Callithrix jacchus: one gene and its partners. The protein of the gene in region 1 interacts with the protein of each later gene in a pairwise test. Links are inferred from orthologs where the notes say so. Each region holds a gene or a part of one and is shown on either strand. Other genes may lie near its edges.

What was found.
Region 2: the proteins of EPM2A (region 1) and PPP1R3D interact in a two-hybrid assay, tested with the Homo sapiens proteins (2 studies listed by BioGRID, with this or other methods). The link is inferred for Callithrix jacchus from reciprocal best matches to the Homo sapiens genes EPM2A and PPP1R3D.
Region 3: the proteins of EPM2A (region 1) and PPP1R3C interact in binary tests that used the Homo sapiens proteins (3 or more experiments, as listed by UniProt). The link is inferred for Callithrix jacchus from reciprocal best matches to the Homo sapiens genes EPM2A and PPP1R3C.

Annotation. Positions count from the first base shown.
Region 1 is NC_133505.1:152,428,940-152,432,573, reverse strand, and holds part of EPM2A (laforin), read left to right. Parts: intron 1-2,909; coding exon 2,910-3,187; 3' UTR 3,188-3,634. UniProt on the Homo sapiens protein: Plays an important role in preventing glycogen hyperphosphorylation and the formation of insoluble aggregates, via its activity as glycogen phosphatase, and by promoting the ubiquitination of proteins involved in glycogen metabolism via its interaction with the E3 ubiquitin ligase NHLRC1/malin.
Region 2 is NC_133506.1:55,556,015-55,560,428, reverse strand, and holds the start of PPP1R3D (protein phosphatase 1 regulatory subunit 3D), read left to right. Parts: upstream 1-1,547; 5' UTR 1,548-1,939; coding exon 1,940-2,839; 3' UTR 2,840-4,414. UniProt on the Homo sapiens protein: Seems to act as a glycogen-targeting subunit for PP1. PP1 is essential for cell division, and participates in the regulation of glycogen metabolism, muscle contractility and protein synthesis.
Region 3 is NC_133513.1:84,419,178-84,423,333, reverse strand, and holds the start of PPP1R3C (protein phosphatase 1 regulatory subunit 3C), read left to right. Parts: upstream 1-1,226; 5' UTR 1,227-1,329; coding exon 1,330-1,343; intron 1,344-3,512; coding exon 3,513-4,156. Other genes in the region: uncharacterized protein LOC144578709, read right to left, coding at 812-961.

The DNA of each region.
Region 1 (3,634 bases):
GGACCCCTTGGACTGGCTACTGCTCTGGTGCCCTTCTTAATTATTTATTTGTTCTTTATGTTGTTTTAATATTTGATAACAATTCAGTGCAGTGGTTGAGTGATTCTGGGAGAAGATCATAAATGGCTGTGCCCTGATGCTGAAATCTGTGTGAAGCTGGGTGCCTTGGGAATTTCTCTGTGTTAGCTGACATGTACCTTTCAGGAGTATGTGTCTGAGATCACAGAACCTCAAACTAACAAACTTCCTTTGTAACTTCTAGACTGTGTACACCCCTCTTGAAAAACCTTTTACAGATAAAATGAAAAGGGGAAGGTATTGCATCATGTGTGCTATTTGGTGCAGACCCACCCTAGGGGAACCTCTGGCCAGAGAGCTGGTCTGGGGAAGGGATCTTGACTAGGACCAGGGAGGATCTTGTTTGCAGGCTGGTTACACTGACGCAGTATGTGCCGAATGCCAGGGGCTGGGACTCTGAGTCCAGCAGCTCCTACTGCAGATGACCACTGGTCTATTCACATACTGGGCATCTGAGGAATACCTGAACCTATGTTAAATGATTCTTCTTTGTCTCCTACCAAGGGACATAGTATCTGGAGAGGCAGCCATAGCAGGGAGCTTGTCACATGACTCTAGCTATGGCTGGAGCAGGAAGAACCCATTCTTCCAGCTCCAGCAGCAGAGTTCCCTCCCACCCAGCTTTCCCTGGAGTGAAGCTCTCATACCCTCAGCAGAGTAGAAGCCCCACAGTGGAGCAGGCCTGTCTCTTCTCAGCAGAGCTGATCCACCGTACATTGGAGGTTTTGCTCCTCTGATCCCCCAGCGCAAATGGTGGCTCTGCCATGCTGTGCTCTCCGTGAGCTATGCTGTGAGACATCTCGCTGGCACACAGGATCCTCTCACCATCCTGTTGCATCTCCAGTGATGTTTCAGTGCCTCTAGGAGGGCACCATGAATAACTAAGTGGCAGGCCCACCTGGCTTTAATCTCAGAGTGCCCCGGAACCAGGCGTGGAGGTTTAGATGGATTAAAGTTTATGGTTCTGTTTGGACTATGAGGCATCAGATATACATAGAAGCTGGTGACTTTCTAATACAAATGCCGTCGGGAACCAGGCAGGGAACACCAGTATATGGCAACAGGGCTAGAGAAGGAAGGAGCACAAGTAGCCTGAGCCCTCCCTACCTGAAGACATTCCAGGTACAACGTTTCTAAATGGCTGTGTGGAGGCAGCAGTCTTAGATCTCTTCACTAGGGGGATTAACAGAGCTGTAGCATAAAGACTGGGACCAGGGAAGATCTTGTTTGCAGGCAGGTTACACTGATGCTGTTTGAGCTGAGTGACAGGGGCTGGGGCTCTGTGTCCAGCAGCTCCTACTGCAGATGACCACTGTGGTCTATTCACATACTGGGCATCCTGAGGAATACCTGAATATACATTAAATGATGCTTCTTTGTTTCCTGCCAAGGGACATAGTATCTGGAGAGGCAGCCACAGCAGGGAGCTTTAGATTGTTATCCTGGCTTCCATGTGGACTCTGCTCCTTCTCAGAGCTTGCTGAGCCTGAAGCTGAGGTAGATGCTTGGCTGAGTGGAATGGCCACTGAGGGACCTTCAAGCCACGTTGTGGTCCTTGGTAAACTCTGTCCTTCTCAGGTGCTGATGCCTGATCACAGTGTGTTATACTGGCTCCTTCAGGGTCCTTGCATTTCAACAAAGGACATCTAAAGAGGGAAGTCTAAACTTACAGTAATGGCTGTCATGGGGAGTTCTAGGCCTCACCGCAGATCCCCAGGTGAAATCTTTTGAGGGAGGGGTGTTCCCACCTCTTTGGTCATCCAATGAGGATGCCGACCTGAAGGGCACACAGGGTTCTTATTTGTGACTATCAGAGGATCCTTTGGGGCCATGGTGTTCCTGTAGCTAGAGAATGCCAAGTTATAAGCATGGAGCTTAACCCAGGATTCACTTCCCTCTTCCTTTCCCTTTGAAATAATTTACATTGACTGCCCCCTGAAAACAAACAAACCCAACTTACAAAATACCTCTGTACTGAGAACCTGTGAGCAGAAGAAACTTAAGGCATCCATGAGTTCAAAGAAATGATTATGGGACGCACCTCTGTCCTACAGCATGAAAGAGCAAGCAGAGTCTACCAGGCCTCAGCAGGGCACAGTGCATCCTCTCCCGGCCTGATGAGAAGACATTTGAATAATCTCGTCATCAAAATAGTAACCATGAAGCAATAATAGCTATAAACCCCAAATTATAGAATTATAGAATTCCCCAAAAACATGGAAATTAAATCAGTTTTAGAATTCATTGTATCTCGAGGGAATAAATGAACAATTGGTTCTCCCATCTGTATCGAACAATGTTAGCCATTCCGTTGAACAAATGAAAATGAGCATATGTTGAATGAGCAGATTGATTCCTTTAACTAATATGAGCCACTTCTGTGTTTTGCATTTAACTGGAAGATACTTTTGGATTCCCTGAAATTCAGGTGGTCAGATCTGACAACTGATTTTTTTTTTTAATCCACGAAAACTCTGACCAATCTCTGCAAACACTTTTGATGTGAAAGTGCATTCTGAAGACAGGAGATAGGTCACTTTTCTTTGGGAGGTATTTGCATCGATGGTGAAGTCACTCAAAGAAGCAGCAATACTGAGAGAAGGATTAGAGAGGGCCTCTCGCCTCTGGAGTGCCCTTTCCACTTTTCTATTATCAGGTTTTAAGGTGGCCTCGCCTTTTCCTTCACAATGAAGGGAGAAAGCAAACTCTTGTATCCCTGCCTTGCTCTGTGCAGTCCTGTGATGTGAGGCTGAGCTGGAGGAGATCTCAGCAGCGGTATCTGGAGGTTTCATTATTCACATGTGTGCTGTGCTCTGCTTTCCCCACCGCAGGCCGAGTGCAGATGCTGCCCCAAGCGGTGTGCCTGCTGCATGCGCTGCTGGAGAACGGACACACCGTGTACGTGCACTGCAACGCCGGGGTGGGCCGCTCCACTGCAGCCGTCTGCGGCTGGCTCCAGTACGTGATGGGCTGGAATCTGAGGAAGGTGCAGTATTTCCTCCTGGCCAAGAGGCCGGCCGTCTACATTGATGAAGAGGCCTTGGCCCGGGCACAAGAAGATTTTTTCCAGAAATTTGGGAAGGTTCATTCCTCCCTTTGTAGCCTGTAGCTGGTCAGCCTGCTTCTGCTGCCTCCTGATTTCCCTGAGGAGCCTGGGGTGATGTTGCTCAAATGACCTAGAAACGAGGATTCTACCTGAACGGAAAGGACTGTGTGACTTCCCCCAAGCCAACCACGTCCACCGGGGGATGGCTTTCGATGATGCTTTGTTTTGGGGCTGTGTCTTTGAAATAGTGTACAAGAAAGCTGTGACTGACACACGAGAAGAAGCCTGAAGCAGTTAGGCTGTGCGTCAGACAGAAGTGTAATGCATGCAGTTTCTGCTGCCTGCAGGCGGAGAGGCCTTTGATTAACAGCACTGCATGTGTTGCATGATGGATCCATGACAGCGCTTTCCTGTTGAACTGAAACTCTTTGCCATGTAGAGGAAAACATCGGGAGCCATATGGATTTCATCACTAGTGTGTGTGTGTGAGCTGGTCAGTTGCCAAGGGAG
Region 2 (4,414 bases), on another chromosome or scaffold:
AAATTTGGAAGGCTAAAGTCAGGTCTTATTACAGCATTCAATCATTGCGTTGCCCAATCATTCATTCATTCAACAAATGTTTATAGGAGTGTCCATAATGGCAGCGATGATGCACGTCCCTGCTCTGAAGGAGCTTAAACTCTAAGAGAGACCTTCCCACTCAATTTTTCTGCCTTCTCTATCGCATCAATCCATTACAAGATTTTCCATATATTCATACATATTACTTATTCTCTCTTTGTGAAATACTGTTGACCCATACCACAGATATCTGTTATTCCCCTCCCATTTTGAGCGGCCTGTTAAAAGTGCGCTGAATGGAAATTGGATATTTCTCTTTCCCATATCACCTGTCTCTGTAACATAAAAGAGATGTGACTATAGATATTTTCTTCCTGAAACTTTCCTGTATTTTTTCCACAATAACCATGTAAGCCTTTTTAGTTAGCTCACATCCGATGATAAATAAAATCACTCTCTCACATTTAATGAATTATACCACAATCAACAAGCTTGACTCATTTTAGATGTAGAAAATGTTCTTTAATATAACCCCCTTCCTTAGTCCTTTTTTCTTTCTGCTTTGTCCCTCTGGACAGGAAAAAGGAACCTTCTCAGTGGAATGCTTGGCCCCAAACTGCTCTCTGGAAAGTGGACCTGGATCTTTCTCACTCATTTCACCTGGTTAAGATTTACACCAAAGTCTGTGTGGGGTTTTGTGCTCAGAGCTACCCGGTGAGAGACACGAAGGCTTGCAGGGTTCTAAGGATGCAGAAAACGAGCTCCAGGCCTCGCTGGTGTTTCCGGCTTGCTTGGAAACAAAGCTGAAAGTCGGAGACTCTGTCTACAAATCTGTTCCCCAAGCGCCAGAGGCTGATTAAGGGCAGCTGCGGAAGTCATCACCGGGTATTAACTCTGGTTGCCCGTCTTCCTCTCCGGCGTTGGGTCCAGGAAGACAACAGCAGCGCCTCAAGTCCCCACCCTGCGGGGAATCTGTGGGCCTTTCGGGGCGGCAAAGCATTGTGGGTGATGCGGACAGGAGGCTGCTCCTCCACGCAGCGACGCTCCCGCGGTCTGGCCAAGGGTCTAGGTTGCAGTGAACCCGTCCAAAGTGTGGGCTAGCCGCGACGTTTACAATTAGCCCGGGGCCAGCTGCTGGCAATGCCGGTGTTTGCACCCCCGCTCCCCACGCCACAACCCAGAAATCTAAGGACACGCAGCATGCATTTTCCTTGTCCTCCGTTTGTGCAGACAGGGTCTGGGATCGATAGGCGCGCGGTCCAGGCAGACGTAAACAGACATTGATCAGACCTGTTTCGCGACTGCAGCGCACACGTGACGAGGCTCCCAGCCTTCCTTCGTCTCCGGCACCCGCGCGGCGAGGCCTGGCTGCGGCGCGCTGCGGCAGTGGAGCTGGAGGCGGCGGCGCGCAGCTCCACGGAGCTCTCAGGCCCGGCCCGGGCTGGCGGGGGCCCGCCTGCAGGTGGCGTCACGAGGGGCGGGGCGGAGGCTCTCTGGGAAGTTGCACCCGGTCGAGTTGCAGCCTCGTAAGTAACGCCACCGACCGGGAAAGTGGGAGGGGCCGCTCCCAGAACGCAGCCTTCTCGTAAGAACCTCCAAGGAAGCAAGAAAAAAAAAAAAAAAAAGAAAGAAAGAAAAAAAGAGGCGCTACCCTGAGTTCCCGGGAGGCTTCTGAAAGCTTCCACTAGAGAAGAGCTCGTCTCTTAAAATTTCTTAAACTGCAAGAAGCGGAGGACCCGGGCGAGGACTCCAGGGGCAAGGTGGCGAACAAGAGTAGGGCGCGCCGGGCCCCAGCGGTCCCCCGTAGGTTGCAGACACGGCGGACTCTCGGCGGCTTCTGAGCACGGAGGGAGCTGTCGCGGGGTCGGGAGGCATCCCCTCATCCCTGTCTCCCCATCTTCCGACGGCCGGCGGGGCCATGTCCAGAGGCCCGAGCTCCGCAGTTCTGCCGAGCGCCCTGGGATCCCGGAAGCTCGCCCCCCGGAGCCTCAGCTGCCTGTCGGACCTGGACAGCAACGTGGCTCTGGAGCCGCCGCACTGTAGGCCCCCGGGGAGCCCGGGCCGCGCGCCGCCACCCACGCCGGCGCCGTCGGGCTGCGACCCCCGCCTGCGGCCCATCATCCTGCGGCGAGCGCGCTCGCTGCCCAGCTCCCCCGAGCGCCGACAGAAGGCCGCGGGCGCGCCGGGCGCTGGGTGTCGGCCGGGCTGCAGCCGGCAGCTCCGCGTGCGCTTCGCTGACGCCCTGGGCTTGGAGCTGGCGCAGGTGAAGGTGTTCAACGCGGGAGACGACCCGTCGGTGCCGCTGCACGTGCTGTCGCGGCTTGCCATCAACTCGGACCTGTGCTGCAGCAGCCAAGACCTGGAGTTCACCCTGCAGTGTCTGGTGCCCGATTTCCCGCCGCCCGTCGAGGCCGCCGACTTTGGCGAGCGCCTGCGGCGGCAGCTGGTGTGCCTGGAGCGTGTCACTTGCTCGGACCTTGGCATCAGCGGTACGGTGCGCGTGTGCAACGTGGCCTTCGAGAAGCAGGTGGCGGTGCGCTACACTTTCTCGGGCTGGCGCAGCACCCACGAGGCGGTGGCGAGGTGGCGCGGGCCCGCGGGGACTGAGGGCGCAGAGGACGTCTTCACCTTCGGCTTCCCGGTGCCTCCCTTCCTGCTGGAGCTCGGCTCCCTCGTGCACTTCGCTGTGCGCTACCAAGTGGCTGGTGCCGAGTACTGGGACAACAACGGTGGCCAAGACTACAGCCTCACGTGTCGCAACCACGCGCTGCACATGCCTCGCGGGGAGTGTGAAGGGAGCTGGATCCACTTCATCTGAGCCGCGCGGGGCCACAGCCTGGAGCCTCCACACTTAAGCAACGCCTGCTGTCATTCATTTCCCTGCTGGGCCCTCACATCTATCTGGTTGTTCTTCGCCACCCTGCAAGTTCTCTGACCTCATTTTCTGCTGCGAGGTCCCCCGGCAGAGGCCCATCCTGTCTTCTGCTTGAAATGTCTGAGTCACTTGGTCTAAAAAGCAGCCTCAGGTGGCCGGAAGGCCGAGTTGACTTGTGTAATGAGTTGGGGCACGGTGGTGGGGTAGGTGCATGGGAGGGTGGGCCCTCTGGGGAGGCCCAAGCAGCTTGTTTTGGAAAGGCCCCCTCCTGCTAGGAAGAGCTTTTGCATGTGTCCTGAATGTGTCTCTGTAAACATAGCTGTTATTTATTATTGTGATGTTGGGACCTTTAGCTCATAGCGAATGCCTCCTCAGGAATATTCTCGATTTAATAAGCTAAAAAAAAGGTCTGTTGTGTGTTTGTGCCCACAGTAAACAATGTACAGTGTGACCCACATCATGGTCCCTCCAGGCATTCCTGCCCCACGACAAGGAAAACCTGAGACCACATCTGCTTGCCAATGGGCTGTAGCCTTCTAACAGTGGGAAACTATTAATAGGCAAGAAATTATCAGTCATCACACAACCATTCCTGGGCACTGAGACAGCCCTGGTGGGGCTGTGTGTCTCTTAGGTTAACAGCTGGGGAGGAGGGGAAAAGCTTCAAACTTAAACTAGCAAAACAGTTCTTTCTCTGCAGTCACAATTCTGATTTCATGTATTTCTCTGTTCAGGCCATTCTGTTTAAGTCTGAAACTTCCTAAACGTTTTAAGAAGTCTTGCCTTCGTTTTTTCAATTTTCAGGTGACTAGAGAATTTTAGGCAACAGTGCCCTTTTTGACCATTAAGGTGATTACCTTTTTGACCATTAAGGTGACTCTTTTTATTTCTTGTTAAGCATCAGAGGATGTCAGTATTTATCTTTTGGGAATCCAGTTAGAAGGTGGAACTAGAAGGTGTTTTCAGCAATAGCCAGAGCACTAGAGAAAAATAATTGATAAATATTTATACTTGTAAATTGTTTGGAGCTGTATTTACATATGTCATGTTTTATCAGGTACCCACAAACTTTATACTTTGTGCCTTCAAATAGGGTTTCTAACATGTTCTAGATTTGTCAGTTTTAAAATATTAAATTCTTTTTTGTTTTAAACCTTCAGCCAAGAAGTCAAGACCACTGTGCCCTCCTGGGTTAGGCAATCGCTTAAAACTCCAAAGAACTCCAGGCTGATGGTTCTTTTGGTGCTGAACAGTGGTCTCTCTGATTACAGGTGCTAGAACTAAGGTGTGAAAAAAAAAAAAGCCAAGAAGGATCAGATCTCCAGTTTGTGAAGTGTGTTTGTGATACAGTTGAAACCAGTGTGATCAATTTTATGATACTGTCACCAGGGAATTAATTCTAAACTTTTGAATGCTTGTTGGCATCTGTCAAATCAATACCGAAAGGACACATTTTGCCCTTTACCAATTTGGTTTTGATAATTGCAACCTTTGTGCTTGTCTAGTTCAAAGAACTGG
Region 3 (4,156 bases), on another chromosome or scaffold:
GCTAGTGTCAATCCAAAGACCTTCCAGCTAGTTTTGGTTGAGCTAAGGGGGCTTGAAGACCTGCCATGAGTTAGACATTTCACAAATAAAACCCAGGCATGAAGTGCCTTTCCCAATGATATTCAGTGTGATCTTTTTTTTCTTCACTCTAATAACTCCACTTTAACAATTCCACTGTTTGACAGTTGTTTAAAAGACATAGGAATTTTTGTATATTTTAATTGACTAATGGATATCTCAGTAAAGCAGAACTAGGACATGGGAATAATTTAGACTTGACTTAGATAGACATTTAATTTTACGGTTGTAGATGATGATCTAAAAAAAATCCCCAAACTGAGCAAAATAATGAAACCTTAGCGAAAGTGACTGACTCAGAGGACTCATGAAACATACAGCGTGCTTTTTAAAATTGTATTTTAACATTTTGATTTCCATGCCACTCCCAGAGGACCTCAGAATTGAGTGAGGGGTTTGGGTTGACTGCTGCCTCTGACAGGCTCTATGGGTGAAAAGGGTCATTTCACTTTCGGCTTTAGTGTCCCTCTCAGGGGAGAAAATAGAATAGACAGAAATACAAAGTGTCTTTTAATTAATTCCACCTCTGTGTTTTCTGGGGCTCGTATGCTTTCCTAACGACATTTGTTAGATAAGTTGGTAATTCTTGGCAGCTGTCTACTGTGGGGTGCATCTGTGAACTCATCCTAACCAAAAGCATGCAACCAGTTTGGGGTCGCTCAGGCTAAGGTGAGGGAGAAACGCGGATACAGCGGGCAATGAACAACATAAACATTTCAAATGCGATACATACACATTCGGACTGAGCCACATCTTCTGTGTGTAGATTCAACTGCACTGACCTACAAAGCCATTCGCGAGTAACAGCCGCCCCAAGCCTGAGGCACTGGCGCCCCTCCTGGGCGAGCTGGCTGCGCTCTCTCCTGGCCCGCGCCCGCTGCATGCGGTACGTGCCTGTCCGGCCCCTGGCCCAGGGTTCCCGTTCCGCGGTTGGGTCCAGCTGGCCCGGGAGTCCCCGAACCTTCCCGGGACGCCCAGCTCGCGCTCTGCACGTCCGGCCCGGGGGCGATCACGTTCCCGGGCCGAGGGCCCGTGCCCTAGCTGGGCGCTGGTTGGTCGCGCCACGGGGTCCGAGGCCCGGCGATTGGTCCCAGGGATCGGGTCACGTGCTTCGGAGCGGATAAGTGCCGTCTCAGCGCCCGGCCTTCATTCCGTCCCAGCGATCGCCGCGGGGCAAGGCAGGTAGCTGGGGTTGAAATTTGTGCAGGCAGTGGGTGCTGGCTTTCACGGTCCGCTGCGCCTCTCTGCCTAATGAGCTGCACCAGGTAGGTTCGCTGCAACTCTGCGCGCCGGGAACACAAGGGGACGCGCAGTTGTGGGGAAGTTGAAGGGCGTTTCAGTTCTGTCATCTCTGGAAAGGGACACCCCAGGGGAGGACAAGTGGGCTGACTGCTTAGTTGAATCTGGCAACAGAGAGGCCTTGGAGGTATAGAAACTTGGCTCTATTTCTTAAGAAGAGCCTATTTTAGAAATAAGCAAATTAAAGCAGAAATGACCTTAACGTGAATCAGCTTGGGTTCGGATTTTCTCAGGGATGCGGCTGTTCTTTTGGTCCTGCACAAATGTGCCAAAGACTCGGGCAGCTAAAGTGGCGAGAACAGCACTCTGACATTGCTGGTTAGGTGGTTTAGCTTGGAGGAAAAAATTTACAGGACGATGTTTGTAGTCATTCATCCTTCTTATCACAGTTTGCCATAGCAAAATCTCAAGAGTTTGAGCAATTATTTTTAACTCTTGTCCAGGACTTAAAGTTCCAGGGAAATCACCCAATACTAAAACTGTCCTTCTATAAATGCAAAAAGTCAAAGAGAAAAAAAAACCTCCCATAAAATACTTTAAATAGCTTCTCCAGACATAGCTTAGCAGAAGACTTCTCTAAAAATCCTGCCTATTAACTATTATTAGACCCACAAATATAGCTTTAGCTTTCATTTGTTTGTTCTAAGTTTGCAAGTCTCCCAAAAAAACCCCAGAGCTAATACAGTAAATTCTGTGAGTGTTCTTTATTACTCATTTTTGTGATAATGACCACTTGCATACATGTTTAGAGCTGCTGTGAGGAGAGTTACTAAAGCCAGATTGAGAAATGTCATGTACAGTATACACACACCTCTTACGTGTAAGGCTAAGATGGGGGGAAAATCCTAATGCCATAAGCTTGGAAATATCTAATGAGGACTAAAGGCCAGAAAAAAAGTCTTCTTTATGAATGCTTCTTGGTTTAATATTGTTGAGCATGTTCATCTTTAAAAGTTTAAATAGCTTTATTGTCTTTCTACTTATAAATGCCTATTAGAAAATACCAAAAAAGAACAAAAATGAAAATAGATCATCTATAATCCTATCACCCAGAGATAATAATTATTATATTATTAGGAAAGACATATTTCCTATAGAGTTTTTCAATATTTACAAGTTCATATATATATATTGTATATCTTAAAACACTCCAACTTTCAGGTAATCAGTTTTTCCACTTAAATGTGGAATTGTCATGGGCATCTCTTTAGGTGAACTATCAATTACACACAGTTTTTAAGTGCATGAATTGTTGACTTGTATTTCAGTGGTTATTTGTGAAAAATGAGGAAGAGCATGATAAAATGCAAAGAGAATTCTTCGGCTTCTCTAGCCTTCTCACTGTCAAAACTGTTGCATGTTAATTTTATTTTTTTCAAGTGAATTACCAGAGAAGTGTCAATCAATTTAGCAGCAAAATAAACCAAAGCATCCAGAGGGAGCAGAGGGTCTGGAACTGTGGCTCCTGAACTTGTCTGGTTATTAGAATCACCTGGGAAGCTTTAAGAACATGTGCATCCCTTGGCCCTAGCCCCAGAAGTTCTGCTTCAGTGGTTCTAAGTCCCAGGATAAGGATAGAAAGAAGGAAGGAAAGGAAGGAATTCCCTAGGCATGAAGTCCCAGGAAAAGGAAGGAGGGAGGGAAGGAAGGGAGGAAGGGATTCCCTGAGGCATGAAGTCCCAGGAAAAGGAAGGAAGGAAGGAGGGAAGGAGGGAAAGAGGGAGGGAGGGAGGGAGGGAGGGAAGGAGGAGGGAACTTCCCTAGGCATGGTGACCAGACAGGTTTGAGGACCACACAATCATGTGCTCCAGAACAGAGCACATGATTCTTAAGACTGCCTTGGAGATCATCAAATAGAACACTTTTATTTCTCAGATGGGGAAACTGAGACCCCATTCCCCTCTAAGTGTTTTAAGCAATTAACACTTAGTCAGCCTTTAGCCAGCCAAAGGTAAAGGTAACCATAGAAAGAAGATCTGATCACTTAATACTGTTCTCTTTTACTACATATGACAGCACCTGCCTGATACTAGTGCACTGGCTGTCATTCAGCACAAAAATAGTACATATGCATTTGGCACTGGGGAAGAGCACTTCCGATCCAGGTGATAATCCCCCTTCCCTTTGCATTCCAGAATGATCCAGGTTTTAGATCCACGTCCTTTGACAAGTTCAGTCATGCCAGTGGATGTGGCTATGAGGCTTTGCTTGGCTCATTCACCGCCCGTGAAGAGTTTCCTGGGCCCTTACAATGACTTTCAACAAAGACATTTTGTGAATAAATTAAAGCCTCTGAAACCATGTCTCAACATAAAACAGGAAGCCAAATCACAGAACGACTGGAAGTGCTCGCACAACCAAGCCAAGAAGCGCGTTGTGTTTGCTGACTCCAAGGGCCTCTCTCTCACCGCGATCCATGTCTTCTCTGACATCCCAGAAGAACCAGCATGGGATCTCCAGTTTGATCTCTTGGACCTTAATGATATCTCCTCTGGCTTAAAACTCCATGAGGAGAAAAACTTGATTTTAGATTTCCCTCAGCCTTCAACTGATTACCTAAGTTTCCGGAACCACTTTCAGAAGAACTTTGTCTGTCTGGAGAACTGCTCTTTGCAAGAGCGAACAGTGACAGGGACTGTAAAAGTCAAAAACGTGAGCTTTGAGAAGAAAGTTCAGGTCCGTATCACTTTTGATTCTTGGAGAAACTACACTGACATGGACTGTGTCTACATGAAAAATGTGTATGGTGGCTCAGATAGTGATACCTTCTCATTTGCCA